2 linked regions of the Anolis sagrei genome follow. The protein of the gene in region 2 interacts with the protein of the main gene of each other region in a pairwise test. Links are inferred from orthologs where the notes say so. Each region holds a gene or a part of one and is shown on either strand. Other genes may lie near its edges.

Region 1 (15,889 bases), on a different chromosome or scaffold from region 2:
TCACCAACCTCTCTGTGAATAATCGTTTTGTGATTCCACCTCCTGGAACATAGAACATCTTATTGTCATCATTTACTCCAGGAAAAGCTGCTACTTGCTCTAATTCTTTGCCACTTAATCTCTCCATTACGTTTCCAATCGTTTTTTCAACAGCGGGTGACAACAAGTATCGTAGTGAGGTACTGCCAACAAACATAACATATGTACATCAGCTGCAAAAGCTTTCAATTGTGACTTTTTAAAAAAATTGCAAGTTGATTATTAATTGATTACTAAGTCAGCAAGTAGTGAGAAAAGCTAGTGAGAAGACGCAAGCTTCTAAAGTAAGCCATGTTTCCTTTGATTACTCATCTCTAAGGAATGTTAAAATACAGAATTTCACACATTTTATATCGGACCTAATTCAAGAATTCATTATTTAAGAAAACTACTGAATTCATGAAAGAAATATGGGCTTTCACAAAACTACACTTACAACCTCCCCCTAAAAACATTGAGCTGAATCCACACTTCTTATTTTGTGAGTTGATCCACAATTAGCAACCCTCATTTATTTCAGTAGGTCCATTCTGGGTACAACTAAATCTAAATTCAACTCATTTCATGTTATGAGATCTAGACTGAGTGTAGTTAAGATAATAGTACTCTCAAACACCACTTTTAAGATTAAAACTCAGATTATTAATGGACAAGGCCATCTAGAGTACTGAGATAAAAATTACAGTATACAAATGTATTCTATATGTTGTTGAAGGCTTTCATGGCCAAAATCACTAGGTTGGATTGCTGTGAGTTTTCTGGGCTGTTTGGACATGTTCCAGGATGCTTCTGAACATGGCCATACAGCCCGGAAAACTCACAGCAACCCAAATGTATTCTTAACGCACAACTTTCAACAATAAGCCACTTTGGGAAGCACATATTTGAGTATGCACACCATGCCACAATAACATTATGTACAGAGACATACCCGTGAAGTTGTTGATCATTGCGTTGGTAAGCATGACTGCTGGACAAAAGAACAACTTTGGCAAATTCACAACTTTTCACCCAGGCAAGAATTGTTTGAGAGAAGGATCTGTATTTATTCTTGAACATCAAAATGAGAAACAAATAATTAGAACTTTTATTAAATGATATATTAATTCTTCAGTGACTTAAAATTTTGAAAATATCTCTTTGTGTAGTTCTAAAAGTTCCATCAGCTATGTTTCTTGAATTTTAAAAGATTTTATGAACATGGAATTGTTCAAAGAAATTTTGGCAAGTCAAATAATCAAAGAAAGCTGATGAAAGCAAGGCAGTCCAAGCAAACATGGTGAATATGACAGCCCAAAGTATGTATATCACAATGGCCTTCATAGTAATATCAGTGGGAAAAAAATAAAGGGACAGGGCCAAGTCTGTCATTAAGCAGAATAACTTCTCAGGCAGATTTTGATTTTAAAATAGTTGGTCTTTTATTAAAGTTTTTATTATATTTTAGTGTCAGGGGAGGGATGCTCAAGAGATTTTTGCCTCAACTACCAAAACAACTACCGCACGAAAGGTTGGAGGTTCAAATCCAGGGAGTGGGGTGAGCTCCCATCTATCAGCTTCAGCTTCTCATGCGGGGACATGAGAGAAGCCTTCTACAGGATGATAAAAACATCCAGGCATCCCCTGGGCAATGGCCAATTCTCTCACACCAGAAGCAACGTGTAGTTTCTCAAGCTGCTCCTGACACACACACAAACACATGAACATATAGATGGGGAGGTAATTTGTACAAGCCAATGCCAAAAAAGACATTCATGCACTAAATGAGCCACAGCTCATGGTGTAAGAGACATCACAGGAACATCAGTTCTATTACCCTCTTAACAAAGCAAAAAGTGAAATCTGCTGCACATATTCATCATGGCTGTCCTGTATAGTGTTGCAATAACATTATATGTAAACATATAGGATTTTTTAAAAGTGAGGCATTCTTACATCGTCCCTGTATAATTTCACACCTTAAATAATTCTCCCCACTCCCATCCCCCCAAAACTGGAATGGATAATAAATACAGAAAAGGCACTTAGATCAACTTGTCACACTTAATTTATTTTTGGAAGAACATCTTAAGGCAGTTGTGTAAATCACGAATTCTGAAAATGTAAAACAACTTAAAGCCTTAATCTTATTATACATTTGCTCAGGAGTAAGTGTCAATTAATATCAAAATGTACTATATGTACTCACTCATTTATAAGTTGATCTCATATATAAGCTGAGGACAAGTTTTGTGGCCAGAATTATGAATTTTGATATGAACCGTGGATAAGTTGACAGATCTTTCTGGAATGTTTTTAAAGGTATTTAAACATAGAGTAGGGTGAATCCTAATTAAGACAATCTCAATTACCCAGCAGAAGAAAACAAGATACCTAGTTTTTCTCTGGAATGTAATAATACAAAGAAAACACTCATACCTTGATGAATGGAGATCTGAGTTGCAAAACCACCAGTTCTTTAGAAGGAGCTGTATACACTAAGAAAAGCATATAAACAGTATATCAAGATCAACCTTAACTTACATTTGTCTTTAGGAATATGAGATGAACCAGTAAGAGTTTTACAGTTATGTCTTGACTGAATTTTACCAATGTATTTAAAGTTTAAATACAGACTGATTATTCCTTATCTAAATATTATCCGAATATGCTTGGAATCAGAAATGTTTTGATTTCAGGTTTTGGAATAGTTGCATACACTTGAGATATCTTGGAAATGAAGCCCAAGTTTAAATACAATATTCATGTATGTTTCATATACACCTTACACACTTTGGCCTGACAGCAATTTTATGTTAGTGTACACTGAGCCAGCAGAAAGCAAAGATGTCACCATCTCAGTTACCCATGTGGATAATTTTAGATTCTAGAGTACTTTTGATTTTGAATGTTTGAATAAGGGATAGGTAAAGGTAAAGGTTTCCCCCTGACATGAAGTCCTAAATGGAATTGTTTTGCAGAAGAATAAAACCTTCTTCTTTTTCTTTCTTTCTGATTACAAATTAACCTCGACAGTCTGAACAAACTCATGATGTTGTTACTGGTTAGATAATGCAGATTGTGTATCCATTATCCAAAATGCTTGGGACAAGAAATATTTCTGGTTTTTAAAATTTTGGAATACCTGTAAAAAAGGTAAAGGTAAAGGTTTTCCCCTAATATTAAGTCCAGTCGTGTCCGACTCTGGGGAGTGGTGCTCATCTCTATTTTTAAGCCGAAGAGCCAGCGTTGTCCGTAGACACCTCCAAGGTCATGTGGCTGGCATGACTGTATAGCACGCCGTTACTTTCCTGCCAGAGCGGTACCTATTGATCTACTCACATTTGCATGTTTTCGAACTGCTAGGTTGGCAGAAGCTGGGGCTGACAGCGGAAGCTTACACCACCCCCCGGATTCGAACCTGCAACCTTTAGGTCAGCAGCTCAGCACTTTAACCCACTGCGCCACCGGGGGCTCGAATAAGGGATACTTAAGCTGTATTTTATTGAGACTTCATGGAATATCCAATTAAGACCATTTGAATATCTGTACTATACAGGGAATATCTGTACTATACAGGGAGAAAAGCATGTTTATACACTTCCCATTTTAATGTATGATTCTCGGTATTAATAGTATAAGCAATTATGTACTATCCCTTTGGAAGAATTGTGTGCTAATATATACAATCTGAATGAGAAATGTTGCTGAAAACTGTAATATCCACATCAATTAGTGCTGGAAAGCAGGGATAATTCACTTCAGATACTATTTCTCATATACTATTTCTATACAGCAAGGAGTTAAAATGCTCAAATTCATTCTAAAAAGAAGGGTGTTTCTCTGGAGAAGACACAACAAGCCCAAGTTAGCACCCAACATTACATTCAATGTACTTACCTTCAGCATTTATACACAGCTCTGTTGCATTCTCTTCTGTTGTTGCATATGGATTATTTCCAATCATTGGCACAAGACAATCAGTATAAAAGTACCCAACTTTAGACATGTCAAGGGTGGAAATAACTAGATCTACAGCCAGCTGGCCAACATTCCCCACCGATACCGCGGGCTGAAATGACATAACAGATGCATGCGAGTTACATCATCTGAAAAAAATGACTGATTTTCAAATTTAAAAAAACATGTTAGTTGAACACTGAACATTATTAACCATTTCTATTGAGTCCCCTTGGGGAGATAGGGCAGGTTATTATTATTAGCAGTAGTGGTATTAACACATTTCAGCTGTCAAACCACAATACTATAGTAAAGTAATGCCAAAGTAATTTATAGCAAAATGTACACATTCAGATTATTATTATTACTATGTTTATTTACACCTCACAAAGAAGACTCAAAGCAGTTTGTATTAGTATATTTTATAATGTTTTGGAGAAAAAAGTAATGTGGCTGCTATTTACCAATTTTAAAAATGGTATCTGCTTGTTCAGATAATTGTCCTTTTAATCGAACTGAGGCGAAAGGGTATCAAATCCTTTTTAACACAAAGAGACAGGATTCTTCAGCAATTATTATATACATAGTTTTGCTAGCAATCTTACACATAGGTTGTGGTGAGCTTTTCAGGTTGTATTACCATGTTCCAGAAGCATTCTCCCCTGACATTTTGCCCACATCTATGGCAGGTGTCCTCAGAGGTTGTGAGGTCTGTTGGAAATTAGGACAGTGGGGTTTATATATCTGTGGAATGTCCATGGTTGGAGAAAGAACTCTTCTCTGTTTGAGGAAAGTGTGAATGTTGCAACTGGAAGCTTGATTATCATTTAATGGCCTTGTAGCGTCAAAGCCTGGCTGCTAGCTGCCTGAGGGAATCCTTTGTTGGGAGGTGTTAGCTGGCTGATTGTTTCCTGTCTAGAATTCCCTTGTTTGAGTGTTCCTCTTTATTTACTGTCCTGATTTTAGAGTTCTTTTAAAAAAATACTGGTAGCCAGATTTTGTTCATTTTCATGGTTTCGTCCTTTCTGTTGAAATTGTCCACATGCTTTTGGATTTCAATGGTTTCGCTGTGTAGTCTGACATGGTAGTTGTTAGAGTGGTCCAGCATTTCTGTGTTCTCAAATGATATTCTGTGTCCAGGTTGGTTCATCAGGTGCTCTGCTATGGCTGACTTCTCTGGTTGAATTCGTCTACAGTGCCTTTCATGTTCCTTTATTCGTGTTTGGGCAATGGTGCATTTGGTGGTCCCTATGTAGACTTGTCCACAGCTGCATAGTAGACTCCTGCAGAGGTGAGAGGATCCCTTTTGTCCATATGTATTCTTGACATACATCAAGGGAACCACTGACCGCATAGGAACCCTGATAAAGAAAACCTACAAACTGGGTTGTTGTAAGTTTTTCGGGCTGTATGGCCATGTTCCATAAGCATTCTCTCCTGATGTTTCTCCTGAAACTTACAGACAACTCCACTCCTGTATGCTTGTCCACTATGCCCTGCCTCATGTACAGAGGAAGAATTGTTGGAGGCTACAGACAATGCCATTGCTGTTGCCTGTTTTTGGTCAAAAGATGTTTAGCTGCCTGTGCTCCTTCTATTTTTATCAGTTTTACACTAATTTATGCAATGCTTTTGATATGAAATAAATAAATCCTGAAACTTGAAACTTCTAGGCCATTAAATGCTAATCAAGGTGGCCAATTGAAAATTCACACCTACCTCCAACAGACAAGAGCTCTTTCTCCCACCCTGGACCTTCCACAGATACTTTTAAAAAAATGCGTGCCATTCAGTCGGTTGAAGACGTAGCGGAGCGCTAGTGGTCTCGTTTGAGAGGCGGGAGTATAAAGTTTTGTCCTGACACAGTTCAGTCGCCATCATGCGTTGGAGCAGTGAGGAATGTGCTTTTGCCATTGAGGCCTACTTTTCGAGCGGATTTGGAGTGGCCGGCCCGTTCTCCAGATTTGGCCCCTTGTGATTTTTTTCTATGGGTTTTTTTGAAATCCCGTGTTTATGTGAACCATCCAAGGACCCTACAAGATTTGGTTTACTCGGTGTATGGAGAATGGAGGACGTCACCTACCTAATTTGATCTTCAAAACTATGTAAAACAAAACTTTAGGTATTCGCCTACATTATATATTTTAAAAATTCCGATTCATACAATGGGTTTTATTAAGTTTTGAAAAAAGAAAGTTATGCTGCCTCACCCTACAAGAGTTCTTTCTCCCAACCCTGGACATTTCACAGATATATAAACCCAATTTTCCTAGTTTCCAACAAACCTCACAACCTCTGAGGATACCTGCCATAGATGTGGGCGAAACGTCAGGAGACAATGCTTCTGGAACATGGCCATACAGCCTGAAAATTTTATTTATTTATTTATTTATTTATTTAAAAGTTTTGTATACCGACCTTCTCACCTCTCTTGAGGGAATCAGGCCGGTTTCCGACCATAATATCACATACAGTCAATAAAACATCATAATTCGTATTACAGTAAAACATTAAAACAGCAATTACATTCAATAACTACAATGGTCAGTCGTCACACTAAAATCGTTGTTCATCATCCTCCATCCATATCTCAGGGTATTGGCTCACTAGTCGAATGCCTGTCTCCATAACCACGTCTTCACCTGTTTCCTAAATGTCAGGATAGAAGGGGCGGTTCTGATCTCCAGTGTGAGAGAGTTCCAGAGTTGAGGGGCCACCACCGAGAAGGCCCTGTCCCTCGTCCCCACCAGATGCGCTTGCGAGGCCGGTGGGACGGAGAGCAGGGCCTCTTCAGACGATCTTAATAATCTTGATGATTCATAGGGGAGAATACGTTCGGAGAGGTAAACAGGGCCGGAGTCGTTTAGGGCTTTATAGCCCTAAACAAACAACAACCCAGTGATTCCGGCCATGAAAGCCTTCGAAGATATACCTACAAACTATCTATAGACCTCGCAAGAAAACCCCGCAAATGCTACATTCAGCAAAAGACAAGAGGTATCCTCTCAGTGGTTCTCAACCTGTGGGTCCCTAGATGTTTTTGGCCTACAACTCCCAGAAATCCCAGCCAGTTTACCAGCTGTTAGGATTTCTGGGAATTGTAGGCCAAAAACATCTGGGGACCCCAGGTTGAGAACCAGTCTAACCACTGCAGGAGTCTCACCAAAATTATAGCTCCCATCATCCCATAGCACTGAGCCATGGTGTCAAACTGCATTAAATTCTACAGTCATCCCATAGCAATGTCAAACTGCTTTAAATTCTACAGTGTAGATGCGCCCTTAAAGGGGCACACACACACTCCCTCCCTCCATATTTTAGGTAGAGACCCCTCCTACTGCCTCCCTCCTCCTCCTCCTCCTCCTCCCACGCCTGACTCAATGCCACGCGCCCGCTCGCGCGTTGCCCGGGCAACGGGGGGTTGGGCGCTCTCTCCGGCCGTCTCGCGCCGCGCAAGGAAGGAACTGTCCATTACCATTAGCAGCGTGCAGCCTTTGAAGTCAGCGGGCGCGCGGCCCTCGCAGGGAACGAACATTCTATCCAAGACGCTGACTGGACGCACCGCAGGCCTACACAAGAGTTCCCTTTGGTAGCGAGAGCAAGGGGCCTTTCTTGTTCACCGCCTCGGAGAGGTGTCTTGCACAGTGCCTGTCCCCATCTGCGCTTACTGACAGCCAGTTAACGGGCGAGCGACAGTTCCTTTGAAGGAAAATTACATTTTTGTTGTTGTTGTTGTTGTTGTTCTGCCGTACGGGTATTAATTGCCTAACAAGACTCGATTGCCTTGCTATCAGGCAATTGTGATAGACACCTTTTATTTTTTGAAAGGCGGTTGAGGCCCGAGCAAGCGCATGGCTAGCTGTGGGAGGGGCCGAGTTTGCTGATTGGCTGGAGATCCAGCCAATGGGTGCTCTTGGGAGGGGGGAGACGGGATAGGCGGTTTGAGCGCGCGGGAGAACGGAGGAGTGTGGTGTTGTGGTTGGAGGTGCCTGGGATGAAGGCCTGTCTGGTGTCCACTTAGTCTAAGGAATTGGGACAGTTGCTGAGCCATGGCCTTGGCTCCCGGGAAAGCCTCAGAGCTCAAGCAGATCATTCACCAGCAGCTGACCAAGGTGAGAAGGAGGAGGAGGAAGAGAAAATGCCCATTGAAAGCCTTTATAGCAGGCTTGGGCCAACTTGGGCCCTCCAGGTGTTTTGGACTTCAACTCCCAGAATTCCTAACAGCCTCAGGCCCTTTCCTCCCCCCCCCCCCTCAGCCGCTTAAGCTGAGGCTGTTAGGAATTCTGAGAGTTGAAGTCCAAAACACCTGGAGGGCCCAAGTTGGCCCATGCTTGCACCATAGGAAGTCCACAGTTTGGGGATGGCTGCTACAGATGGTTGAATCAATGGATGCAGAGGCTGGGTGTATATACGAGGGGTATTTTAAAAGTAAGGTCCGTTTTGTTGTAGATACTAGTAGTTCGCGCTCATACCGCAATGAGCACGTGCATGCCTCGGGAACAACTGTGCTCAGCCGTATGTGATACGGTTTTTGTCAGCAAGGAACCTGAACGGTCCTCATCATGGACGTTGTCACGGCCATCTTTGAATTGTCGTACCCACTTACGCACTTTGCTTTCACTCATAACAGTATCACCGTACACTTCACAAATCTGTCGATGGATTTCTGCAACAGGCAGGTTCCTTGCTGGCAAAAACCGTATCACTGAGCGAACCTCACATGCGGAGGGTGAGTTGATAGTCTTAAACATTTTTAAAGCACAGAACAGAACCGTACAGGTTAGCTACAGAGCGGAAACTGAGCACAGTTGTTCCTGAGGCATGCCGGTACACAACGCACGCGCTAGTTGCGGTATGCGCGCAAACTACTAGTGTCTACAATAAAACGGATCTTACTTAAAAAAATACCCCTCGTAATAACAGTGGAATTAAAAAATAAGCAAATAAGCAAAAGTGGGAATCCCACTGAACTATGGCTTATGAGCAGGAATAATCGAACCTGATACTCTCCATCTTTGGTTTAAATCTGAAATTGGCTTGGTCTGAAATAGTCAACTATACACCAAGGCTGGTTTGCCTGCCTTCGTTTATTCAGTTGGACCTTCATACCCACATATTCTGCATTCTTCGATTCCCAACATCCATGGCTTAAAAACACTCCCCCCGCCTCCAAAAAAATCCAAACCGCCGACCTTGATTTTGTCATTTTGTATAAGGAACACCACTTTATTATGCCACTGTATATCATGGGACTTGAGCATCCATGACTTTTGGTATCCGCAGGAGGACCTGGAACCAAACCCCAGCAGATACCAAGGGCCCACTGTACTTATTTATTTATTTACAACATTTATATGCTGCCCTTCTCACCCCAAAGGGGACTCAGAGCGGCTTACAGGATATACATACGTCCAATATATTATATTATTAGCATAGTACAATATCAATATTAACTATTACTATATTGTACTATACCATTGTATTGTAATGTTATTAATAATATTACATGTAATATAAACATATACCTATATTATTATTAGTATTATTATTTCTTCATAGATGGATGTCCACAGCAGGGTCCGAGAAGTCCTTGCTGAGACTATTCGTGAAGAACTGGCACCTGAACACCAGCAACTCTCAGAACAACATCTAATGAAAGCCCTGATACGGAGAGGAATCATTAATGATGTTATGAAAGAACTCAGCTTTGTAACTGTGAGTAGTTTGAAGAAAACATCTGAAATGGTACCAGATATTGATTACATAATACAGATAAGGTAAAGGTCTAGTCATGTTCGACTCGGGAGGGTTGGTACTCATCTCCTTTTCTAAACCGAAGAGCTGATGTCTGTAGACACCTCCAAGGTCATGTGGCCAGCATGACTGCTTGGAGCACCGTTACCTTCCAACTGGAGCGGTATCTATTGATCTACTCACATTTGCATGTTTTCGAACTGCTAGATTGGCAGAAGCTGGGGGTAATAGCAGAAGCTCACTCCATTCCCTGGATTTGAACCACCAACTTTTCAGTCAGCAAGTTCAGCAGCTCAGTGGTTTAACCCACTGCACCACCGGGCTCTCGTGTATAATACAGATAACCTGGTACAAAAATATTTATGATTGGATTCATTGTGGAGCAGTGTTAATTTTAATAGATCAAAACTGCGTAGGTAAATTTCTTTGTTGTCATCTGCTGGAAGTTAGGGTGAGCTGGATCTATCTGCTCCAGTCAATTGCCTTCACTTCTGAATCTTCCTCCATCCTCTAACTCACCCATACACTCAAGGGATATGTTGCTGCATGAGGGACGAACCTGAAATAGAATTAGGTTATAAGAAGAAAGCACTTATTTGACATCAGAAGTCACTCAATTCAAAGACAATCGCACATGCAATACTTAAAATCATGTCTGGTGACGGAAACATATACGGTCATTTTAAGTTTGACAGAAAAGGGAACATCACTTTGTGAGTTATCTTCCTATCCTATCTAGGGATATTGCAGCTCTGGATGCAGGTTAAACCCCTTGCTGGCTAACCATTTTATGTAAGGTGTTTTTAAAAAATGGAATTAATTTGAAATTGCTATATTTCTGCAACCACAAAATGCCCATAAATTCTATCTTGAGTTTCAAATTATTACTGCTAGATGCCTCTCTTAGCACACACACAAAAGAATCAGTCATTTGCAAGATGACAGTACTGCAACATAAGGCTTAATGAGATAGTCTCAATTTGTGGAATTATTTTTTACATTTGTTTCTGGATCAAAATGATTAATAAAACTAGATATTTTATTAAAATGCATGTAACCTTTTGTGTAATTGTAACATGTTGCTGTTGTGAAATAAACTGTTTTGAAATTGGGTTCATCATTTTGAAACACCCTGTAGATTAGAGGTATGAAAAATTACATTGGCAACAGCCAATACAAGTACGTAGATTACAGCCATACTACTTCTGTGAACAGCATCATTCAATGTGAGGTGTTACCATTTCTACGTATTATTCACGTAATCATACTGCCTAAACAATGACAAGTAGCCCGAGGAACTGTCTTATAGACTAGATGCTATTTTCATAATTTTATTTCATAACAGTGTATCTTAGAGATTGTATAATGTGAACTATTGAAGACTGCTTTGGCATTTTCAGAATGTGTTCTATTGAGATAAAAAGACATGGTTGCAAGGGTGTGTTGAATGTGTGCTTATCTCTATATAATCCTAGGATATGAACAGTGGTGAAATAAGTTCACCTCCAAAACCTTCAACACACTTCATTGATACACAACCAGCGGTGCTGAAAAAAAGTAGGTTATATGCTATTTTTAACAACATTTCATTTACTGTTTTTTAGATGCTTTATAAGGTGCAAAGTAAGACATAATTTATATTATTTTTAAAGTAGGTTAGAAGTATCTTCCTTCTGCTTTGATGTATTCTTTTGTCAGCAGTGTTGCCATTTCTCTGGTGATATGTTTTCATAGTGGAGTTGATCTTAACTGATGATCCTGTAATACATGAATGGGGAATCTGGGATTTCAGTCAAATCCAATAAAATTATTTCTCTTTAATGTATGCTATCAGGATCAAATAGGAAAGGAATTTTAATATTCACAATGACTTTTATGTAAATACTTTAAAGTACAGTTACTGACTAGTCCTAACTATTAATGCAAAATATATTTTGTACAAAACTGTGATTATTTCCTATTTATTGGTACACTTTGCAGCAAATATTGACCCAACACGGAGGTATCTTTACCTTCAGGTTCTGAGTGGGAAAGCTTTTCTGGAACATCTGCAGGAACCTGAGCCTTTACCTGGTCAAACTTGTTCTACTTTCACCCTCTGTTTACATTTTCGAAATCAACGTTTCCGCTCTAAACCTGTGCCATGTGCCTGTGAACCGGATTTCAGTGATGGCTTTCTACTTGAAGTATATAAGGATACCTTAGGTAAGAAAATCTGAAGTGTGACAGGAATAATATTGAGTTCTCCTTTGGGGATATTAGCATTCTTTTTTCTTTTCTTTTTCCTTTTGCATATAGAAGTATTATCACACACATAAAGGTTTCATAGCAGTTATCCACATTGGCAAAATTAATTAGTCATGGCTGCTTTGTAGACCTCATTTTGAAAAAAATGTAAACTTCAATTCAAAACCTCTTAGTTTACAAAAAATAAGCTTCTGCACTGGATTGCTGTGAGTTTTCTGGGCTGTATGGCCATGTTCCTTCTACACACACTTTTTGTTACTTGTTTCGTCACTATCATGTTATTCTCATCATGAGATAATACACTAATAATAAGCCCAAAAATGTGTAAATATAAAGAACATATTCCCATAATCTTGTGAGTTTGTTTGTATAGGATTATTTGAGGATTTTACAGGAATAGCCTGTCTCCCAAAAATGGACAAAAGGGGGGGGGGGGTTCACCTTGTGCTGGTATTGGATGAATATTCTTGGTTCACATTTGTATGGATGTAACAGCAGATTGTATACTTGCAGCAGTTGATGTGTATCTCATGTATTTGCCTTCATAAAAAATAGACTCCACCTTCTGACTCTTCATGAAACTGCAGCCATATCCTCTCATATGTACACACACACACACACACACACACATCAAATCTGTCTAGCCCTCATCTTTTGGTAGGATGTCCAGCACTTTATTCCCAGTCCCGGCTTTACAGATTATGTTGCACTAGCTCTTTCCTGCCCTATTAGTCCCAAACCTGCACATGCTCACTTTTCTTGGCCATCGGTTGCTTGCTGTTGAGTTATGTCTTATGGTGTTTTAGATTTTATTGGTTTTATTTTTTATATATTTGATTGATATTTTTAATTTTGTCATTTTGTAACTTTGTTTATATTGGGTTTGGTCCCTATGTAGCCTGCCCAAAGTCCCTTCGGGGAGATGGAGGCAAGATATAAGAACAAAGTTGTTGTTGTTGTTGTTGAAACTTATGAAAATCCATGGAACCTGTTGCTTAATAGACAAAATCAGTGCTGTAATTTTGGATAGAAAGGATTCAGTAGGAAGTGAAGTGCTTACTTCTTTCCCCTTCAGCTGTTTTTCTACTCAAAATTTCTCCATGTCATAGTTGCTTTTCTTAGGCAATATTAACAAGCTCTGGTTGTTTTTTGTTGTAAATTTGATACGTATGTCATAATTTGGACTCTTTAAGTCATTTTTCAAAAGTGTAATGGCAATATGTCTGGGGATTTGACTAGACTCTTCATCTGTTTTGATATATTGACAGGTGAAGGAAGTAAAATGGTGGATGCAACCACTATGCTTTCAATATGTGATCCAGTGCACATTGTCTTGATCAAAACAGATACAGCTGGTGAGACAACATTAGTTGCCTCTTATTTCTTAGAGTGGCGGTCAGTCCTGAGTGCAGAGAATAAGATAACAAATATTGCTGTTGAACTTCTGGGTGTAGGTAAGCTTTAAAAATATACTACTGTAAAATATAGTAAAATATAAAGAATAACACCAGATTAAATTAAAAAAGGAAGATGGGAATAGTAAAATTGAAAGTTGGTTTCAAACTGTTTATTAAGCAATTTGAGCTGTAAAGTTTATCACTCTTGAAAGAGGAAACAATGTCACCCAGGATACAACTTCCAACATTTTTCCCCTCAAAAGCCTGTTGTTTTCACAATAAAGCCAGGTTCTTTCCTTTCATTACTTTCTAGTAATACATATTAATCTCATATAATTTAAAATTCTGCTTTGGAAAACGGGCACAGTATTCTTTGTAATTCAGATAAGACTATAAGGGAATGTGGTTACCGCAAAGATTTTATATTTCCTAAATTTAATTAGAAGAGAAAATGTATGTCTTTTGTGTGGTTTCTGAAAAACTGACCTATTAAAATGTCTATTTATATTCTTATCAAACAAATATCTTTTGGTCCAAAGGTTCAGAATCAAAGGTTTCAGTGGGAGTACTGAACATCAGACTCGAAATGTACCCAAAACTAAATAAGATACTTTCTCAGGAAATAGTCAGTACTCAAGTAAGTCTTAACATTTGGGGGGGACGGGACACAATCAAGGTTAACATATAAATTTATATATTTTAAAATGCAAATCAGATTGCTTTTATACCATTTGAAACAGTAAAAATTGAGTTTGTTGTTGTTTGTAAAAGTTCTGCTGAAATACAGTTGTCTCCCTCTTTATTCTTAAAAATGTGGTATTGCAATGAATAGGAAACATGGAATAACTGAGCACTACTGTGGTTCATGTATCAATGTATTTAGTTTGGAGAATTAAGAGAACAAAATTTATGCAACATTGGTTGCATTTTCTGCCTGTTCATCTCATTCTGTTCTTCATCAACATTACCATCCTAATGCACCCCCGGTGGCGCAGTGGGTTAAACCCCTGTGCCGGCAGGACTGAAGACCGACAGGTTGCAGGTTCAAATCCGGGGAGAGGTGGATGAGCTCCCTCTATCAGCTCCAGCTCTTCATGCGGGGACATGAGAGAAGCCTCCCACAATGATGATAAAAACATCAAATCATCTAGGCGTCCCTTGGGCAATGTCCTCGCAGACAGCCAATTCTCTCATACCAGAAGCGACTTCCAGTTTCTCAAGTCGCTCCTGACACGACAAAAAAAAAAAAACCATTCTAAATTTTATGTAATATCTTTTAACTGAAAAAGAGCTATCCTTAATCCTCATTGCTTGATGTATCCCATACTGGAAGGGTAAATCTGAAACAAAATTTGGCTTTTTGGGAAGGAAATATTATATTGTCCTGATACTTGCAATTTAATATTATTGCAACTGTAACTGCAATTTTGAAGAAGATAGTTGTCACCAGGCATTTTTTCCAAGTGTGAAACTGTTACAGATGGAGTATCTGTACTCCAAAATATTGTTGCTTGCAGTATCAAGAAGTAGTCTGTAACAATACATTTTAAAACATCTTATCCATTATCTTGCTTATTGTTGATCTCACAAAGACATACGTACAAATATGTTTTAAACAGGCTTTTTCTTAAGTCAGATTGAATGAAAATGTCTCGGATTTTTCATCTTCCGTTTTAATTCAGCTTCCTTTCTTAAGCTACCCTTGAATTATTTCTTTAGATTAAATTCAAAATTAAGTAACTGAATTTTGTTTACATGGAGGAAATCTCCTTGCCTTCTTTCTCTCTGGACACCCACCATCTGCTCTGTGAGTTTCCTCATCATATATGAAACCCTATCTTCAAAACCTTGGAGAGGTTGTGAGAAATGTAACTGCACATGTGGTGGGATTGTGTAGAGGTAAAATATTCTCAAATGAAGTTTTTCCTGGAATGTAATACAGTGATTCTATATTGTAAAATTGCTAACATGTGCTGAAAACCAAAATGATATAGAAAAACTGGAAAGGAAACATGAGCTGTGCAGTGGATTAACTCTGGACTAACTGAAACAATTACCAAAGCAAGTAAATATATTAGGGCAGAGAACAGTAATATAACTGCCTTTATTTTAAAAATTCAGTGACATAGTCATATTATTCTGCATGAAAAGATGTAAGGGAATCCTGGATCATATTTTGAAACAAGTTCCAATTCAGTAGTTCTCAGCCTGTGGGTCCCCAGGTGTTTTGGCCTACAACTCCCAGAAATCCCATCCAGTTTACCAGTTGAGGGCCAACACATCTGGGGACCCAAAGATTGAGAACCACTGTTCTAATCAGATGCATGGAATGAGAGCCATCACTGTGTATTGGATCCTTGTCTGACTTATGTAGAATTGGTCAAATGGATAAAGGGAATGGCAAATGCTTCACTGAAAAAAGGGACGTTTCCATCCTGACTAAAGGCTGCAGTTAAGCTGTTACTCAAGAAGTATTTCTTAGATCTCACATTTCTGAATAAATATTGGCCTAT
Region 2 (16,397 bases):
GATTCATCCCAAGAACCAAAGAAGACAGATCTTTAAATGTGTAGCTAGTATTTCAACTTTTGTATTTCAGAACCAGCAGGTGGGAACTAGATGGTCCCTACTGTGAGTGTTTGGAAATTTTAATTCCATAAATATACACATATGTAAGCTATGATAGGGAACTTCCTTGTTCCCTGCTCTAGCCATTTATATTGCAAAGTAGTGATTGATTTTGATAGATTCCATTTTGCAAAAGATATTTGTGACACAGTGGTCCTGACTAGACCATGATCACAGTGGTGGGAGAGTTTAAATCTGCCATAATGTCATACCTGTAATGAAAGAAGGCTGAAAGGGAGGTGGAATCCCTGAACTGTAAGAATGTTGCTCATTCATGTTAATTAATATCATCTCTTGAGTACTTCTGGGAACCATTTTTAATTTAATATTGGTGTTAAGCCTCTTCCCGTTCCATTATAAAATAGTTCTACCCCATCACTTGAACCCCATCACTGTTTCAACTATGGACGCCTATTTTGCTGTTTTGATAGACTCTGGCAGCACGTGACGAGTGCCATCGGCAAAGGGGACCAGAACAAAGCAACTCAAGAGAAGTTTGTGTTGGAAGAGGAACAGAGGAGTGCAGCCCGGGAACGGAAGGAAAACGGAAATGAGTGGAAGCCACTCCTCTTCTGGCATGATTCTGCCACCAATGAATGGCATTACAAATATGAAGAGTGAGTGATTCTGGAATGTGTAATAGTGAAAAGTTCTCTATTTAGATCAGGAGGAAACATGCTGTGCTACAGCCACATGCAGCTTTTTGAATTCGAACATCCTATAGATACACATTGCCTGGTACAAACACTGGTAAAAGCTAGCTTGCAAGCATGGTATACATGATTTCTTGTAAATTTGGTAGCTTTTTTCATGTGCTTTTTTCCTTTGAAAAGTTTAAGGCCCTGGGACCCGCTGAATGACATTGCCCAGTATGAAAAGGACGGGATACTTCAAACCATGCAGAGGCACTTACCCAATCGAATGTCAGCTCACAAAAACATGCACATCAGCAACAAAGTCCGACACAAGGTAACATTGAGAAAAGTTATATTTTCCATACTATTGTATATAATCGAGTATCAGCCTAGTTTTTCAGCACATTTTTCATGCTGAAAAGCTTGGCTTATACTAGAGTGAGGGTCTTGGCAGGAAGGCATGGGACTGAAAGAAGCCCTTTGCAGGGCTTCTACCAGGTGCATGCCTCCTCCCCTCCGGCACAGCAACTGTGCAAAGAGAGGACGAGAGGAAGGCATGCAGCCTCTCCTCTCAGCACAGGAACCCAGCTGGGTTGCTGTACTGAGAGGCGAAGCTATATGCCTGAATTAATGTAATTTTATTGGTATCTATTTTATTTTGAATTTTACCAGTATCTGCTGCATATCCCACCCTAAGCTCAAGTCAGTAAGTTTTCCCAGCTTTTTGTGGTAAAATTATGTGTCTCGACTTATATTTGGGTCAGCTTATACTTGAGTATATACTGTGTTTGGATACATATAACATCCTTTTATGCCTGTTTTCTGAATGGTAGTAAGCCAATTTGCAGCCTGTGGCCTGCAATTCATTCTTCATGAGCCAGGTTTGGGAAGGTGGCAGCCCACTTACAGATTCATTAGTCCCATGACTTGGCAGTTCAATTACTATTCCTGTCTGTTTTCCAATGTTTTTGTCTGCAAATATGGTTAGTTCGTATGATATTCTCCTTCTAACCTGCAACAATTTTCCTTTCAAATTGTTAATTGTTAGGGTTAATTTAGATTATTATAGTGTTTCAGTTGAAGTGGTTTAACCAGCAGGCCAATGGACAGACTGTTGGGGCTTAGGGATGCTGAGTTCAGATTCCTGATATGAGATATCCAATTTGACTGGCTTTGGTGGTAGTTCTTTATCTGTAAAATGAAATGAAATGTAGAATCGAAATGATATTTATATCACATTGGAGGATTCTGAGGGTGGAAAAGACAAGAGAACAATTCAATGCGCAATTTACTTATATAGCTGTAATGCTAATATCCAGATTTGAAATGTCTGTTAGAATATTTAAAGGGGAAGAGATATGAAGGCCTTGAACAGGTCATTTCCATAGAAATGTGTGGGATTATTTATGAGGATTTCCACCCAGCTTCTTTCATCCTTGAGGTGATGAACCTCAGCAGCTCCCACTAAAGTCCAGGTAGTTATAAATACTTGGATGATATTTTTTTGTCTCACCCAAATCTCTGGTAAATTGACATATTTTCTGCATTGGTCCATTCAGAGGTCTGCAAATGATTGTCGACGCCGTAAAGCCAGTAATCAACCGTCCAATAACAGCCAGAACACTGAAAGTAGCTGTTCAACTCCTGAGTCCATGCAGGAACTTTCAGATGATGATGGTAAATGTGTTACAATGTTCTGATCCAGTGTGCTCTCTTTGTTTACCCACATCTTTCAGGAACTTGCCACTGCTATCCATCCTAGAAACAAATGCATTTCAGATATGTTTCTAGGACAGATGACAAGTGGCAAGTATAAATATGTGAGGGGAAGTCATAGGGAAGAGGGAGCATGCTTGATTTCTGACTATGACAGTGGCTCCAAACTACAGGAAAGGAGATTCCACCTGAACATTAGGAAGAACTTCCTAACTGTGAGAGCTGTTCAGCAGTGGAACTCACTGCCCCAGAGTGTAGTGGAGGCTCCTTTGGAGGCATTTAAACAGAGGCCTGATGGTCATCTGTCAAGGGTGTTTTAAAGGTGATTTTCCTGCTTCTTGGCAGGAGTTAGACTGGATGGCCCACGAGGTCTCTTCCAACTCTATGATTCTGATTCTATGTTGGAGTTCCATTGTCATTATTTCCCAAATTGCTCAAGTTGTAGATCTATGAAAGCCCTTTTATCCATTTATATCAACCTGTCTACCCACCTACATACCCATATTGCAATTTGAGAATTGGCAGTTGTTAATTGCCTTCAAATCAACATTGACTTATAGCAGCGCTATAAATAAGCCCACTGTGGCACTGTTTTCTGTACTGGTGGGACTACATGCTCCTGTGAAATAATAGATCATGCTGACAGCAACAGTGCTGCTGGTAGGGTCTTAATTGACAAAGAGACTTGGCAGTAGTAGTAGTGGGGCAGGATAACATTGGTGAACGATCTCTCAGAGATAATAGCAGTGACACCATAGCTAATGCTAGCTGGTACTGCACAAAAGGGGTCATAGAAGGTCTCTCATTCATAGGATCACCATAGATCAAAGTCAATTTGATGGCAGTTAACAACAAATAAGTAAGCAGATAGGTAATCAATGTACCACTTAAAAGAAACCTTTTTACATATATGTTGGAGTGATTTCTCCTCTCCTCTAGAAAGAAGAAAACTGCAAAACATGTAAAACACTAGAACCTTCACATTCACAAAACACACATATAATCCTGCTGTTATCTCACCATTTCACCATAGGTTTTGAAAGCCCGTGTACCCAGTGTGGGAAAGAATCGGATCATTTGAAGGAAATTCACACTGCTGTCTTATCCCTCCAGAGAGCTCAACAGGATATACACAGGTATGACCTTTCCTTATTAATGCAGTAACCTTATCAAACTTTAAATAACTGTGCATAGTTACAGCAGTATTGTATGCTGCTCTCAGGGACTCACTCTTCAAGAGTGCCAGGCAGGAAACTGGTTGATGCATAAGTTTTACTAAGCACGAACCAAAGTACAATGATAGTCATTAGCCCAATCCAGAAAGTCAAGTCAGTAAAATGAACAAAGGTTATTATCATGCCCCCACAGAGGCATTTTCTTTTCCAAGCCTCGGTTATCCCCTTAATTAGAATAGGTTCTGTTAGTTAGTTAGTTAGGGTGCCAGGAGTCTATTGACAGCAACATATTCCATGTTTAAGGTTTTAAAAGCTGAAGTTTAAAGTTTAGGAAACTGGAAAGGGGGGGGCAGAACAGTAATCTTCCTTCAGATCAAATGATTATGGAACAAACAAAAACTGAAGACATAATTTTTGGTGGTGCAGTGGTTTTAGAAAATGGAAAGGGAGGAGGAGTGTGGACATCTAGAAATTTTCCATGAGATTAACAGAAACCTTCCTATGCCTTCCTTTTTGGTTATTATATGTTTTAATGGTTTTTGTATGGATTTTATAATGTTGTTTTAAATGTTTTAATTGTATATTGTGGATTGTTATGGCATCCAGTTGCTGCCAATTTGTAAGCTGCCTTGAGAAAGGCTTGAGAAAGGCAGGATAGAAATATCGTAAATAAATAAACAAACCACTTTTTGGGGGGGAGGGGGAGAAGTTGGGAAACGAAGATGCCTGAAAAGTCATGGTATTCTTGAAAGTCAGGGATTTTTTTTTTTCATGTCAGGAGCAACTTGAGAAACTGCAAGTTGCTTCTGGTGTGAGAGAATTGGCCGTCTGCAAGGATGTTGCCCAGGGATGCCCAGATGTTTTACCATCATATGGGAGGCTTCTCTCATTTACCTGCATGAGGAGTTGGAACTGACAGACAGGAGGAGCTGTCCCCACTCGCCAGATCTGAACCGCTGACCTTTTGGTCAGCAGAAAAGGAGAGTTACATTATCTTTGTAAATCTCGTTTTTATTATCAGAGAAACAGTAAGTATGGCCAGAATATATTCTTTCCCATGTTTCCTTTGCTCAAATCCTGAACTGATTTGGATTTTTTTTCTTTATAGAATCTGCCTCTGTAGGTACTATTTTCCTTTCTGAATAACCATTGCTTAACTCATTCTTGCAGAAACCTCACTGCTCTGAACAAAAAGTCCCTCTTCAGGAGGACCTCATCAGAAAACCTCTTCATGGACTCTCGCTGTTGGTTCCTTCTGTGCATCTTTCTCACGTGTCAGCTCTTCATTAATTATGTCTTCAAATAAACATCACAGTGGCATTTGGGCAGCAATAAGAATGACCAGCTGCAGGAGCGTGGAGACTGAAAGGCAAGGAGCCCACCGAGGCATTAAGCACTTTACTACCGACACAGCAACCAGGGGCAAAAGGAAGAGAGAACAGGGTGAACCAGGGAACCTGCAAAGTTGTGTTCTTCAAATTTAATGTCATTGCCTTTTTTACATGTACATCTACAAGGACCTCTTTACCTGTATGGGCCTTAATGCTAAAGCCAAATGTAGCTTTAATTGTGCAATTTTTGTTTTTCTATGTCTGGTCGTTTTCTGATGCAATTAAATGTTACTAACAAGTATTTGTGCCCCTTCTAACACTACCAACATCTACTTGGTTTTGTAATACGGTTCCCAGTGGTTTGTTTTGTAGCTGTTCTACAGAACGAGGAGGGCACTTGGACATTGATCCAGGTGCCTTCTAGAAAGGAACATTGGGCAGCCAGATAGAAAATTAAGCCAACTGGGTATAGATAGCACAGCTTCTCCTTGGATCTTCTCACCAGTGCTCTCTCACACCACATCTCAATGAACAGCACACCACATTGCATTCCACCAAGTTGTAAATATGCATGATTTCTTAATGACCTGTCCTTTTAGGAAACACGAAGCCTCCCATTCATAGGCAACAATGGCCTGCCAGATGGTCGGAAAAGGAATCAGTTCGGGGATATTAGTCTCAAAGTTTTTACATTGATTAAAACACACAAACACAAGCACTGTATAAAGGAATGCAAACAATATTTAAAGGAATGCCTCTGAAATGTACCATTATTCCCAGAAGGGGAAAAGAGAATGACCGTATATGAGCACTTCTGTATATAGTTTATTTTGTATGCCACAAAAATCACTACAGTACCGGGGTTCACTGGGCATATACTGTGGCATAGGAAGGTTTTGTCCACTGATGCATCCAGGGCAGCTTTATGGGTAGGTGGTGCAAGCAACTGCTTCTGTATGTTTCTTTTGGGTGATCACTTGTAACTAGTTGGCTCAGCTTCCCTGTGCTTTGTATCAAAGGACAACTGCTTTCTAGTATCACAGAATGCCCCCTTCCCCTCTATAGGGCTGATCCTGTGATTGTGTGAAGGCACCTTGTGTATGTTCTTTGCTCATAGGTACATTTAAAGGTTAATGGTCAGGATTAGTAAGGGTTTGCCACTGCATCCTCTGACTCTGTTGATAGTCTTCCTATTTTTACACCATTTTTAAAAGATTTGCAATATTTTATGTAGATTCGCAGCCAGTACTAAGCCTTTCTTTTCTGGCCTGAAGTAGTTCCAAGTGGTAAGTACTGCTATATATATAAAAAGATTATATATATATATATACAGCCTTAAAATATTTAGTGGTGGTGCCAGTCTGGGCTAACTTTCATTGTAAATGTTTCCAGATTTTTAACTACATTCCTTGTGATGTTCCCTCATTAGGGGAAATTTTGTTTGTGCTTGATATGTTGAAATAAACTACACAACTTTCACTTATACCTTCTGTGTGGCTCTGTCATTGTAGTACATACAACTTCTTTTTTGCTATTTATCTTTCTTGTGCAAGAAATATTTACTCCATGGAGATGTTGACAAGCTGGAATGTGTTCAGAGGAGGGTGAATAAAATGATCAAGGGTCTGGAGAACAAGCCCTATGAGGAGTGGCTTAAAGAGCTGGGCATGTTTAGCCTGTAGAAGAGAAGGTTGAGAGGAGACATAATGGCCATGTTTCAATATGTGAGGGGAAGTCATAGGGAGGAGGCCTGTTTTTGGCTGCCCTGGAGAGTAGGACCACCACATCCTCCATAAAAGATTTAGCAATGTATTGGAGGCCTGCAGGAGAGGGGGAAATGTGTTCGACCTGTAGAAGCAGTTCAAGCTGCAGACAGACACATTTTGAAGTTTTCCCAAACTGGTTAGCTTGCAGTGTACTGAAATGAAGAATATATCTCTGAGTACATATCAGGAAACTTGCTCATTTTTTACCTTCCAATGTATTATTTTCATAATTGTGCCATCAATTAATGTCTATGTTGTTGATGTTATTAATATTGTGCTAAAATGACACCCTTTGTTATGCACATATACACATATAGAAATGGGGTTACAGAGTGGAGTCCACAAGATGCGAGTGTGGAGAAGAGCAAACCACAGAGTACTTATTACAGTGCAGTCTGAGCCCTGCCACATGCACAATGGAGGACCTTCTCACCGCGACACCAGAGGCACTCCAAGTAGCCAGCTTCTGGTCAAAGGAAATTTAGTACACTGCCAAGTTTTTTTTTACTTTGGTTGTGGTTTTCCTGTACATTATAACTGTATTCTCAATTCGCTTCTGACATTATAAATAAACATGTACATATACACAAAAACATATAACACTGTAATTGAACCTCCAACTCCAGAGTCTCATCACTCAACATGTCTTTTTACCTTTAAACCCCACTCTGTGTTTGGTACTTGGGATTCATGGTGACCAGTATACAGACATATTGGTTGCAGAGTTCAGTGTGGTAAGGCATTAATTATATGAAAACATAGAGATAGAAAAAAATGAAAACAGTGAGATTTGTGGTATAATGCCTAAAAGAAATATGTTCAATATTATTACCTCAGTTTAAAGGAAAGTAATACTTCTCCCTGAACTCCTTCTCAGCTCCTAAAAATACTTCAATTCCATAATTTGCACTAACTATCTAACAGACACGCCACTTTGAGTCCCCTTTGAGGAGATAAAGCAGGGCATAAATAAATATGATAATAAAACTTCTGGTTTATATTCTATCCTAGCCCTCCTACCCACAGCATTCTAAGGTTGTGATTGGATGGAAACATCATCATCATAGGCTGTCGCTCGTGGCCAAGTAGAGAAAGATGGGCCAAAATTAAACAAAATGAAGTTCAACAGGGACAAATACTCCACTTAGGCACATCATGAGAAGACAGAAACACATGGAGAAGACAATGATGTTGAGGAAAATGCAAGGAAAAAGGAAGAGGGGCCGACCAAGGGCAAGATGGATGGATGGTATCCTTGAAGTGACTGGCTTGACCTTGAAGGAGCTGGGGGTGGCGACAGCTGACAGGGAGCTCTGGCGTGGGCTGGTCCATGAGGTCACAAAGAGTCAGAAGCGACTGAACGAATGAACAACATTCAAAAAACAGGGGAAGGTTATAGTATGAAAGCTGGGTCCAGAAGTCCTGAGAGTTACACTGTTTCTGCTCTGCCCCTTCGGGAGCGCTGTTTACACAACGCAGAACGGAACACTAATATTATAAAAGGAATGTAAGAGCTCTTTAATGGTAAAACCCTAACCCGTACCTGAACCTTTACCTTAACCCTAACCCTAACCCTAACCAAACCATAATCATAAACCTAAACCCTAACCCTCCCCTCCTTTCTATCCCTTCACCAAATGCAACTACGAAATATATTATCCCCTTTCCTTATTCACAACCGCCATTGCAGAATTTGCGTAATGCTCGGCACTTCCAGACCCAGCTATCATACTATCACTCAGGGGAATGCCACACAGGAAACAATCGGCCAGCTAACACCTCCCAACAAAGGATTCCCCCAGACAGGAAGCAGCCAGACTTTGAAGCTGCAAGGTCATTCAATGCTAATCAAGGTGGCCAATTGCAACATTCACACCTGCCTCAATTGAAGAGAGATATTGACAAGCTGGAATATGTCCAGAGGCAGGGGACTAAAATGATCAAGGGTCTGGAGAACAAGCCCTATGAGGAGTGGCTTAAAGAGTTGGGCATGTTTAGCCTGAAGAAGAGAAGGCTGAGAGGAGCCATTATAGCTATGTATAAATATGTGAGAGGAAGTCACAGGGAGGAGGGAGCAAGTTTGTTTCTGCTGCCCTGGAGACTGGGATGCAGAACAATGGCTTCAAACTACAGGAAAGGAGATTCCACCTGAAGAACTTCCTGACTGTCAGCGCCGTTCAGCAGTGGAACTCTCTGCCCGGAGTGTGGTAGAGGCTCCTTCTTTGAAAGCTTTTAAACAGAGGAAGGATGGCATTGCTTTAAATGCAATTTTCCTGCTTCTTGGCAGGGGGTAGGACTGGATGGCCCATGAGGGATCTTCCAACTCTATGATTCTATGATTCGAAAGATTCCTCCAGGCAGGAAGCAGCCAGACTTTGAAGCTGCAAGGCCATTCAATACTACTCAAGGTGGCCAATTGCAACATCCACACCTGCCTCAAGCAGACATGAGTTCTTTCTCTCACCCTGGACATTATTCCACAGATATATGAATAAACCCCACTTGCCTAGTTTCCAACAGACCTCACAACCTCTGAGGATGCCTGTCATAGATGTGGGCGAAACGTCAGGAGAGAATGCTTCTGAAACATGGCCATACAGCCCGCCAAACTCATAGCAACACACCAGCATCTGGTTTCGCAACTGAGGGCAAGATGGAAGCATCGCGGCTGGCTTCAAGGGCTCCTTCTGCGCATGCCCGCTCTCCCGGAAGCGCCCCTGCATTGGAGACGCTGCTCTGCTGCGTAAATACAAGAGGGAGACCGAGAGAGAGAGAGCGTGCACGCGATGGCCACGTTCTTCGGGGAAGTGGTGGCCACCCGGTCCCGCGCGGGGCTGGACGAGGAAGAGGAGGAGGAAGAGGAGGCTGCCGCCCAACGCCAGGAGACGCCGGAGGACCGCCAGATCCGCCTCGCCCTCCAGGAGAAAAGGTAGACCGGGATTGGGGAGGGGGGAGGATTGCATCCACCCACACTGTAGGTTTGATGCAGGCTGACTCTGCTGTCGGATCATTTGGATTGCAGTTGGGAGAAGTTCCAGCACTCTTTCCCAAAGGAAGGTAAAGACCTTGTGAAACTAGAGCTCCCAGGAACCCATTGCATTGAGCCAGGGCAGTCCAAGTGGGGTCAAACCGTGTAGATCAGGTCTGGGTGGACTTGGGCCCTCCAGGTCTTTTGGACTCCAACTCCCAGCATTCCTAACAGCCTCAGGCCCCTTCCTTTTCCCCCTCAGCCGCTTAAGCGCCCAAGTCCACCCAGGCCAGGTGTAGATGCACCTAAGGAGGACATCTAGCCCCACCTTTCTGAAATCTGCAGCCCTAGAGCATGTGCAGAGTGCATGCTGAATCATTGCAGCCTCCTCTCCATCTCTATGCATATCTAGAACTTTTGTCAATGCTACTTTTACAAGTTGAGTATCCTTTGCCTGAAATGTTTGGGTTTTGGGTTTTTGCAATACTTGCATTTGCATATGAGTACAAAAAATGAGATATCTTGGAGTTTGTGCCCCAATCTAAACACAAAATTTATTTCTGCTCCATATATATCTTATGCACCTAGCATGATTTCACATAGTATTTTATTTTATTCAGGGAGGTTCACCTTGTCTGGAATCCGGGACTGAAGGCCTCTCTGGAAGAGCAGCTTCCTTGCTCAAAGTTCATCTTGGCTGTGGGTCAGAACGCAGTAGGTAAGCAATAGTATTCATTTCTTTGCTTGCTTTGATTGTTTAACCCACTGTTAACCCCTTGTAGAGCAGGCAGGGGCAAACTTTCTGAATTGGGGGCTGCATGTTAGCACTCCGTTAAGAGGACTGGCTGCCCAGTGATGGATGGAAAGAAAGAACGAAGGAAAGAGAGAAGGAAAGAAGGAGGAAATGGAGGGAGGGAAGGTTGGAAAGAGAAAGAGGGAGGGGGAGGGAGGTAAGGAAGGACAAAAGGAAGCAAATGATGGAAATAGGAAATGAAGAGGGAAGGACAAAAGGATGGAAGGAAAGAGAGAATGATGGAAGAAGAAAGAGGGAGGTAAGGAACTAAGGGAGGGAGGTAAGAAGGAAGGGAAGAGAAGGAAGGAAGGAGAAAGGAAAGAGGGAAGGAAGGACAAAAGGGTGGAAGGGATGGAAGGAGAAAGGGAGGTAAGGAGGAAGGAAAGAGAGAAGGAGGGAAGACAAAAGGGAGGAAGAGAAAGATGGAAGGACGAAGGGAAGGGCCCAATTTAAGGTGCTGGTGTTATCCTACAAAGCCCTAAACGGTTCCGGCCCAAAGTACCTTGCGGACCGCATCTCGGCCTATGAGCCCACGAGGACCTTGAGATCATCTGGGGAGGCCCTTCTCTCGATCCCGCCTGCCTCACAGGCACGTCTGGCGGGGACGAGAGAGAGGGCCTTCTCGGTGGTGGCCCCCCGGCTGTGGAACTCCCTCCCTGCTGACATCAGACAGGCGCCCTCCCTTATGGCCTTTCGCAAGGGCCTGAAGACATGGCTTTTCGAGATGGCATTCAACTGAGTGCTATGTTACTGGAAATGACAACTGGAATGGATTACGACTACGAGATTTGTTATGATTCCACGATAAGACGGAGCGGATTATTTTAGTGTAATTAGATGTTGTGTATTAGTGATATGTTAGTTTTGTTGTCTTGGTTCATTGTAAATTGTCTTTTATGTGCTGTACACCGCCACGAGTCGCCCTAGGGCTGAGAGCGGCAGTTAATAAATGCAGGAAATAAATAAATAAATAATAAGGATGGAAGGAAGGGAAGGGGAAAGAAAAAGAAGGATTGGGGAGGTAAGGAACAAAGGGAGGGAGATAAGAAGGAATGGAAGAGAGAAGGAAGGAGAAAGTAGGAAAGAGGGGAAGGATGGAAGGAGAAAAAGGGAGATAAGGAGGAAGGAAAGGAAGACAAAAGGGAGGAAGGGAAAGATGGAAGGAGGAAGGGAAGGAGGAAGGAAAAAGAAGGATGGAGGGAGGTAAGAAACTACGGGAGGGAGGTAAGGAGGATGGAAGAAAGAAGGAAGAAAGGACAAAAGGGTGGATGGGAAGAAAGGATGGAAGGAGAAAAAGGAAAGGGAGGGAGGAAGGAAGGAAGGAAGAAAAGACAAAAGAGAAAGAAGACTGAAAGTGTGGAAGGGAAGGAAGAACGGGGGGGGGGGGAGAGGGAGGTAACGAAGAGAGGGAGGGAAGGAGAAAGAAAAGAGAGAAGGAAGGAAGGAATAGAATTGTGTGAGAGAGGGGGGCCTGAGAAAAGAGTCCAAACGGCCACATCCAGGCCTGGGTTTGCCCGTGCCTGTTGTAGAGTCACTTCCATCAGCTTCAGATATCTCCTCAAATAATGTAAACTGTGTACTTGAGGTGTATCACTAAATGGCTACATTGCAAATGTGTTTGATAACAACGTGCCAGACACAACAATGTTCCATAAATCAAATCTGGCTTTGTTTGCAGCATTCTTGTCTTCCTTTGTTTTGAGTTCGGATTCTTGGGAGGTAGTTGGATCTGTCAAATTATGGAATGAGTGGACCAGGACGTCAAACACAACCAAATTCCTTCCAGCAGATTCCTTTTGTTTGTTTTATCGCTTGATTTCCGATCCTACTGTAAGTACCACCTTTTTTTACCTCCTTTCTCCCCAAACAGGGTTTGGAAGATCTTAAGTAACTAAGGTAACTGCTGCTAGCTTAGTATATAATGACCATGATTTGTTAGTAAATAATGACCATGATTCCCTAGCTAAGCTGCTAAGTGATGCACCAATGATCCTATTTGCCATGCACTGTAGTGTCTACACTCATATTTAAGTGTTGGAATCCCATACATGTGGTTTGGGACCAGTGTCGGCAACATAGTATATTTTGTTTAGCTCCTGGCTTTTAAAGAGTTATACAGAAATGTGAAGGTCCAGAGAAAGGAACCTAGAACACTAGTGAAGATATCCAAATACCTTTTTGTGTTTTTCCATATGCAGAAATCTTTGATGAATTAATTTTTATTTTAAATATAAATAAAATGTATGAAATGAGTTCACTTGCTGCCCCCCTGACATACATTCTCAAAATGATTTCTAAGCTGATTTGGGCATGATATTGGAAAGGGATTTGCATGTCTTATACAATACAGGACCCATCCAGGTATTTGGCCCAGGAGATCGGGTGTAAATCCAATGGTGGATTATTTTAGCAGATAATGTTTTAACTTATTTTATTTATACCCACAGATGTTATAAGCATTGTATATGAAACCATGTAGATTGAATCCATATCATGGACTTTCTGCTTTTACTGTTTTGAATCTCTGGTCTTAGTATTAAAACTTTCAAAATAACTCTGTTTTTAATGTTTTAAAGTTTTACACTCCTGATCTGTGATGGTAACGGTAACAATAAAATTCATTCAGTTGCTAGGGAACCCCTTCAATGAATTTTAAATATTTTTTTCGTGTCATGAGCAACATGGGAAACTGCAAGTTGCTTCTGGTATGCGAGAATTGGCTGTGTGCAAGGGCATTGCCTAAAGGCTGCCTGGATATTTTACCATCCTTTGGGAAGCTTCTCTCATATCCCTGCATGGGAAGCTGGAGCTGACAGACGGGAGCTCACCCCATCTCCCAGATTCAAACCGCTGACCTTTTGGTCAGCAGTCCTCCTGGCACAAGGGTTTAGCCCATTGCACCACCAGGGGCTCCATGATAACTCAATGCGTAAGGGCACCTTTTTAATAGTGCATGTGAAGAAAAAAAGAGATTTGAGGAGTCAGAAGAGTTCAAAGGCCATCAAAAAAGCACTCACTTTGCTGTCCCTGCCTTCAGAATTATCATCATTTATATTGCCAGTTAATAAGGCATTGCAGAAATTCACGAAATTTGTTTTACTACAATTTCCAGGTTTTATTGTGCCAGTGCAATTGTTATGTGGCTGAAGACCAACAATTTCAATGGCTTGAAAAGGTAAGAAGGACAGTGGTAAGTTTTTTGCATAGGTAACATAGAGCGAGGGTCATGTATGCTATTGTTACTGGAGTTGGCAATGTCCTGGTTATATTTCTCATTGAAAATCAGTTGTGGACTGAGGGTCTGCCACCATGTGAGTTACAGAGAGTGAATGCACTGAGAGGGGAAATTTAGTCTCCAAAGGAACCTTGTGGAGGCTCTCTAAGACTAAGACGTATCAGCACTCTTGTTTCTATAAATGTTAACAGTAAATGTGTGCGTGCCTTCCCAGAAGTAAGTCCCCTTGACCTCACTGCTAACTGGGAGAGAAATAAAGTTGAACACTGTGAAAGCCACCCACTGCATGGCTATCAGCCTCCTCCTAGTAGACACAAAGCAAGGAAAAGCTTCATGAGAACCACCACTCTTAATGTTCCCCCAGCAACATCAAGGCTATATCCCTCTGGGTAGCTAAACCAGGAAATCCCAATTGGATGGTCCCCCACGAGGGTCTTCCTCCAGGAGAAACCAAGAATGGGCAAATTGGAAGTCCCTGAACAGACTCAGAAGTGGGCAGATCAAAAGATAACCTGGCAAAATGACTACCTAGAAGAATCCTCCACCTTGTGCGACTACGGAGCAGAACCAACAACTCTGCACCTGTATGCTTGCCCACAATGCCCTGCCTCATATACAAAGGAATAACTGTTTAAAGTTAAAGACAATGTAGTCTCTGTTGCCCCGTTTTGGTCAAAAATTATTTAGCTACTTGTGCTCCCTCTATTTTTGTCAGTTTTATACCTATGTGTGCAATGCTTTGACACGAAATAAATAAACCTCACTGAGGCTTGCTCTTGGATACATTGGCACAGGGTTCATTCTGCGATTTGGCTTCCTGTGTGAATGCCACTTCTCCATGGCTGCTTCCTGCACAGAGGCATTAGAGATGATTTCACATGGAAGGAATGTGACTAGCATCAGCTGCTAGCGTGAAATAGCCTCAGTATAGTCACTCTTTTCGCATTTTGTCACACTCGCCCTGAAATTTGTAACTTTATTCTAGGTATTTGGATGCCTGCAGAATACGAATTTGAAAGTATTGGTTCTTTCGTCGTGTTCCGTTACAGATTATAAAACACCAGAGTCAATTATAACACTTCCCTCTCCTTTTCTGAAAGCGTTAAAGACAACAGAGTTCAAGGATCAACTCTGCTGCTCACTTCTAGAACAGCCAAATATTGTACGGGATCTTCCTGCGGCAGGTATGGAATCTCTTCCCATAGCAGAAGTCTAAGGAGGGGAAAACAAGCCATCGTGCAGTAGCAAAATAGCTCCCTGCCAAACTCGGCTCATAGGCCACCTACACATTTAGTAGCTTGTTTCCCTCTGTGTTTCCCTTTTTACCATTATTACTTTTTTTTCCAATAGCATTATTACTTACTTTCCAATGGGAGGGAAGGATGTGAGTCTCTGTGGGTGGAGCATAATGCATGATCCCATCCTGAAGTAGCAAAATAGCTCCCTGCCCAACTCAGCTCATAGGCCACCCACATATTTAGTACCTTATTTCCCTCTGTGTTTTCTTTTTTTTCCACCTGTTACTATTTATTTTCCAATAGAACAACATTGTCTTATGTCTTAGTGGGAGGGAAGGATGTAAGTCTTTGTGGGTGGAGCGTAATGCATGATCCCGCCTATAAAGTGTCACAAAATGTGTGTTCAATCTGATTTGTTGGGCATTTCATGTTTTTCTCTTATTTTCTCATAAAAGAGCAAGTGAATGATCATTTTTGCCTTTTCTCTCCCCTGCCCTTGTTGTGCCCAGTTCTCAGTTACTGCCAAGTGTGGCAGATCCCTGCAGTGCTTTATCAGTGTTACACTGATGTCCTCAATCTGGATGTGGTAGCAGTTGATGCTTTCAAGCCGGTTCTTTCTTCCAGAATCCTAAAGAGTTTGGTCAAGGTAAGACTTAATTACTTGGTCTTATTTCAGACTGCCTGAGCTATTGGGCATTTTATCAACATGACCATTGCTTTGAAGAAAACTTAGATTAATGTAAATTTATGGAAAGTGCTTTTTAGCAGTTACAACTTAAAAGAGATAGTTCCATACAGAGCCATGCAAATATTTATAGTGACTTGGGAGCATGAATGTGAATGGATTCTGCTGTACAATCAGCCCTCTTCTCTCTCTAGGGTTTAGAGGTAAAAATCCCTGTGAAATGAAAAATCTCAAAGAAATTGCTGTTTTTCACTTGAGAGAATACCTCCCTGGGAATTTCTAGATTTTCCAGCACAACTTCATGGTCAACTTTGGCTGGAATTGCATTGGAGGACCTAAAGATTCCTAGAGAGACTTCTCTCTAGAAATCTCTAGCTCCTCCAGCAAAATTGAAGGACATTGACCATAAAGCCATACTGGAGGACTTTAAAATGTTGCATCTAGGAATATCTAGCAATGGTATTCCCCGTAGTCACCAATGATGTGAGAGCTGGACTATAGGGAAGGCTGAGCGAAGGAAGACAGATGCTTTTGAACTGTGGTGTTGGAGGAAAGTTCTGAGAGTGCCTTGGACTGCCAGAAGATCCAACCAGTCCATACTTCAGGAAATAAAGCCCGGCTGCTCATTGGAGGGAAGAATAGTAGAGGCCAAGATGAAGTACTTTGGCCACATCATGAGAAGAAATGAAAGCTTAGAGAAGACAATTGTGCTGGGGAAAATGGAAGGAAAAAGGAAGAGGGGCCGACCAAGGGCAA

Evidence for each region.
Region 1: the proteins of PSMG1 (region 2) and PSMG2 interact in binary tests that used the Homo sapiens proteins (3 or more experiments, as listed by UniProt). The link is inferred for Anolis sagrei from reciprocal best matches to the Homo sapiens genes PSMG1 and PSMG2.

The regions. Positions count from the first base shown.
Region 1 is NC_090024.1:66,281,180-66,297,068, reverse strand, and holds the start of PSMG2 (proteasome assembly chaperone 2), read right to left. Parts: upstream 7,589-15,889; 5' UTR 7,514-7,588; coding exon 7,454-7,513; intron 4,091-7,453; coding exon 3,919-4,090; intron 2,517-3,918; coding exon 2,458-2,516; intron 1,090-2,457; coding exon 971-1,089; intron 183-970; coding exon 9-182; intron 1-8. Other genes in the region: CEP76 (centrosomal protein of 76 kDa), read left to right, coding at 8,028-8,090, 9,538-9,693, 11,208-11,289, 11,713-11,937, 13,248-13,433, 13,916-14,013. UniProt on the Homo sapiens protein: Chaperone protein which promotes assembly of the 20S proteasome as part of a heterodimer with PSMG1.
Region 2 is NC_090021.1:246,352,783-246,369,179, reverse strand, and holds the start of PSMG1 (proteasome assembly chaperone 1), read left to right. Parts: upstream 1-9,434; 5' UTR 9,435-9,508; coding exon 9,509-9,651; intron 9,652-10,310; coding exon 10,311-10,408; intron 10,409-12,161; coding exon 12,162-12,313; intron 12,314-13,595; coding exon 13,596-13,658; intron 13,659-14,703; coding exon 14,704-14,902; intron 14,903-15,465; coding exon 15,466-15,602; intron 15,603-16,397. Other genes in the region: OSBPL5 (oxysterol-binding protein-related protein 5), read left to right, coding at 531-716, 933-1,068, 2,294-2,411, 3,484-3,586, 4,796-4,931. UniProt on the Homo sapiens protein: Chaperone protein which promotes assembly of the 20S proteasome as part of a heterodimer with PSMG2.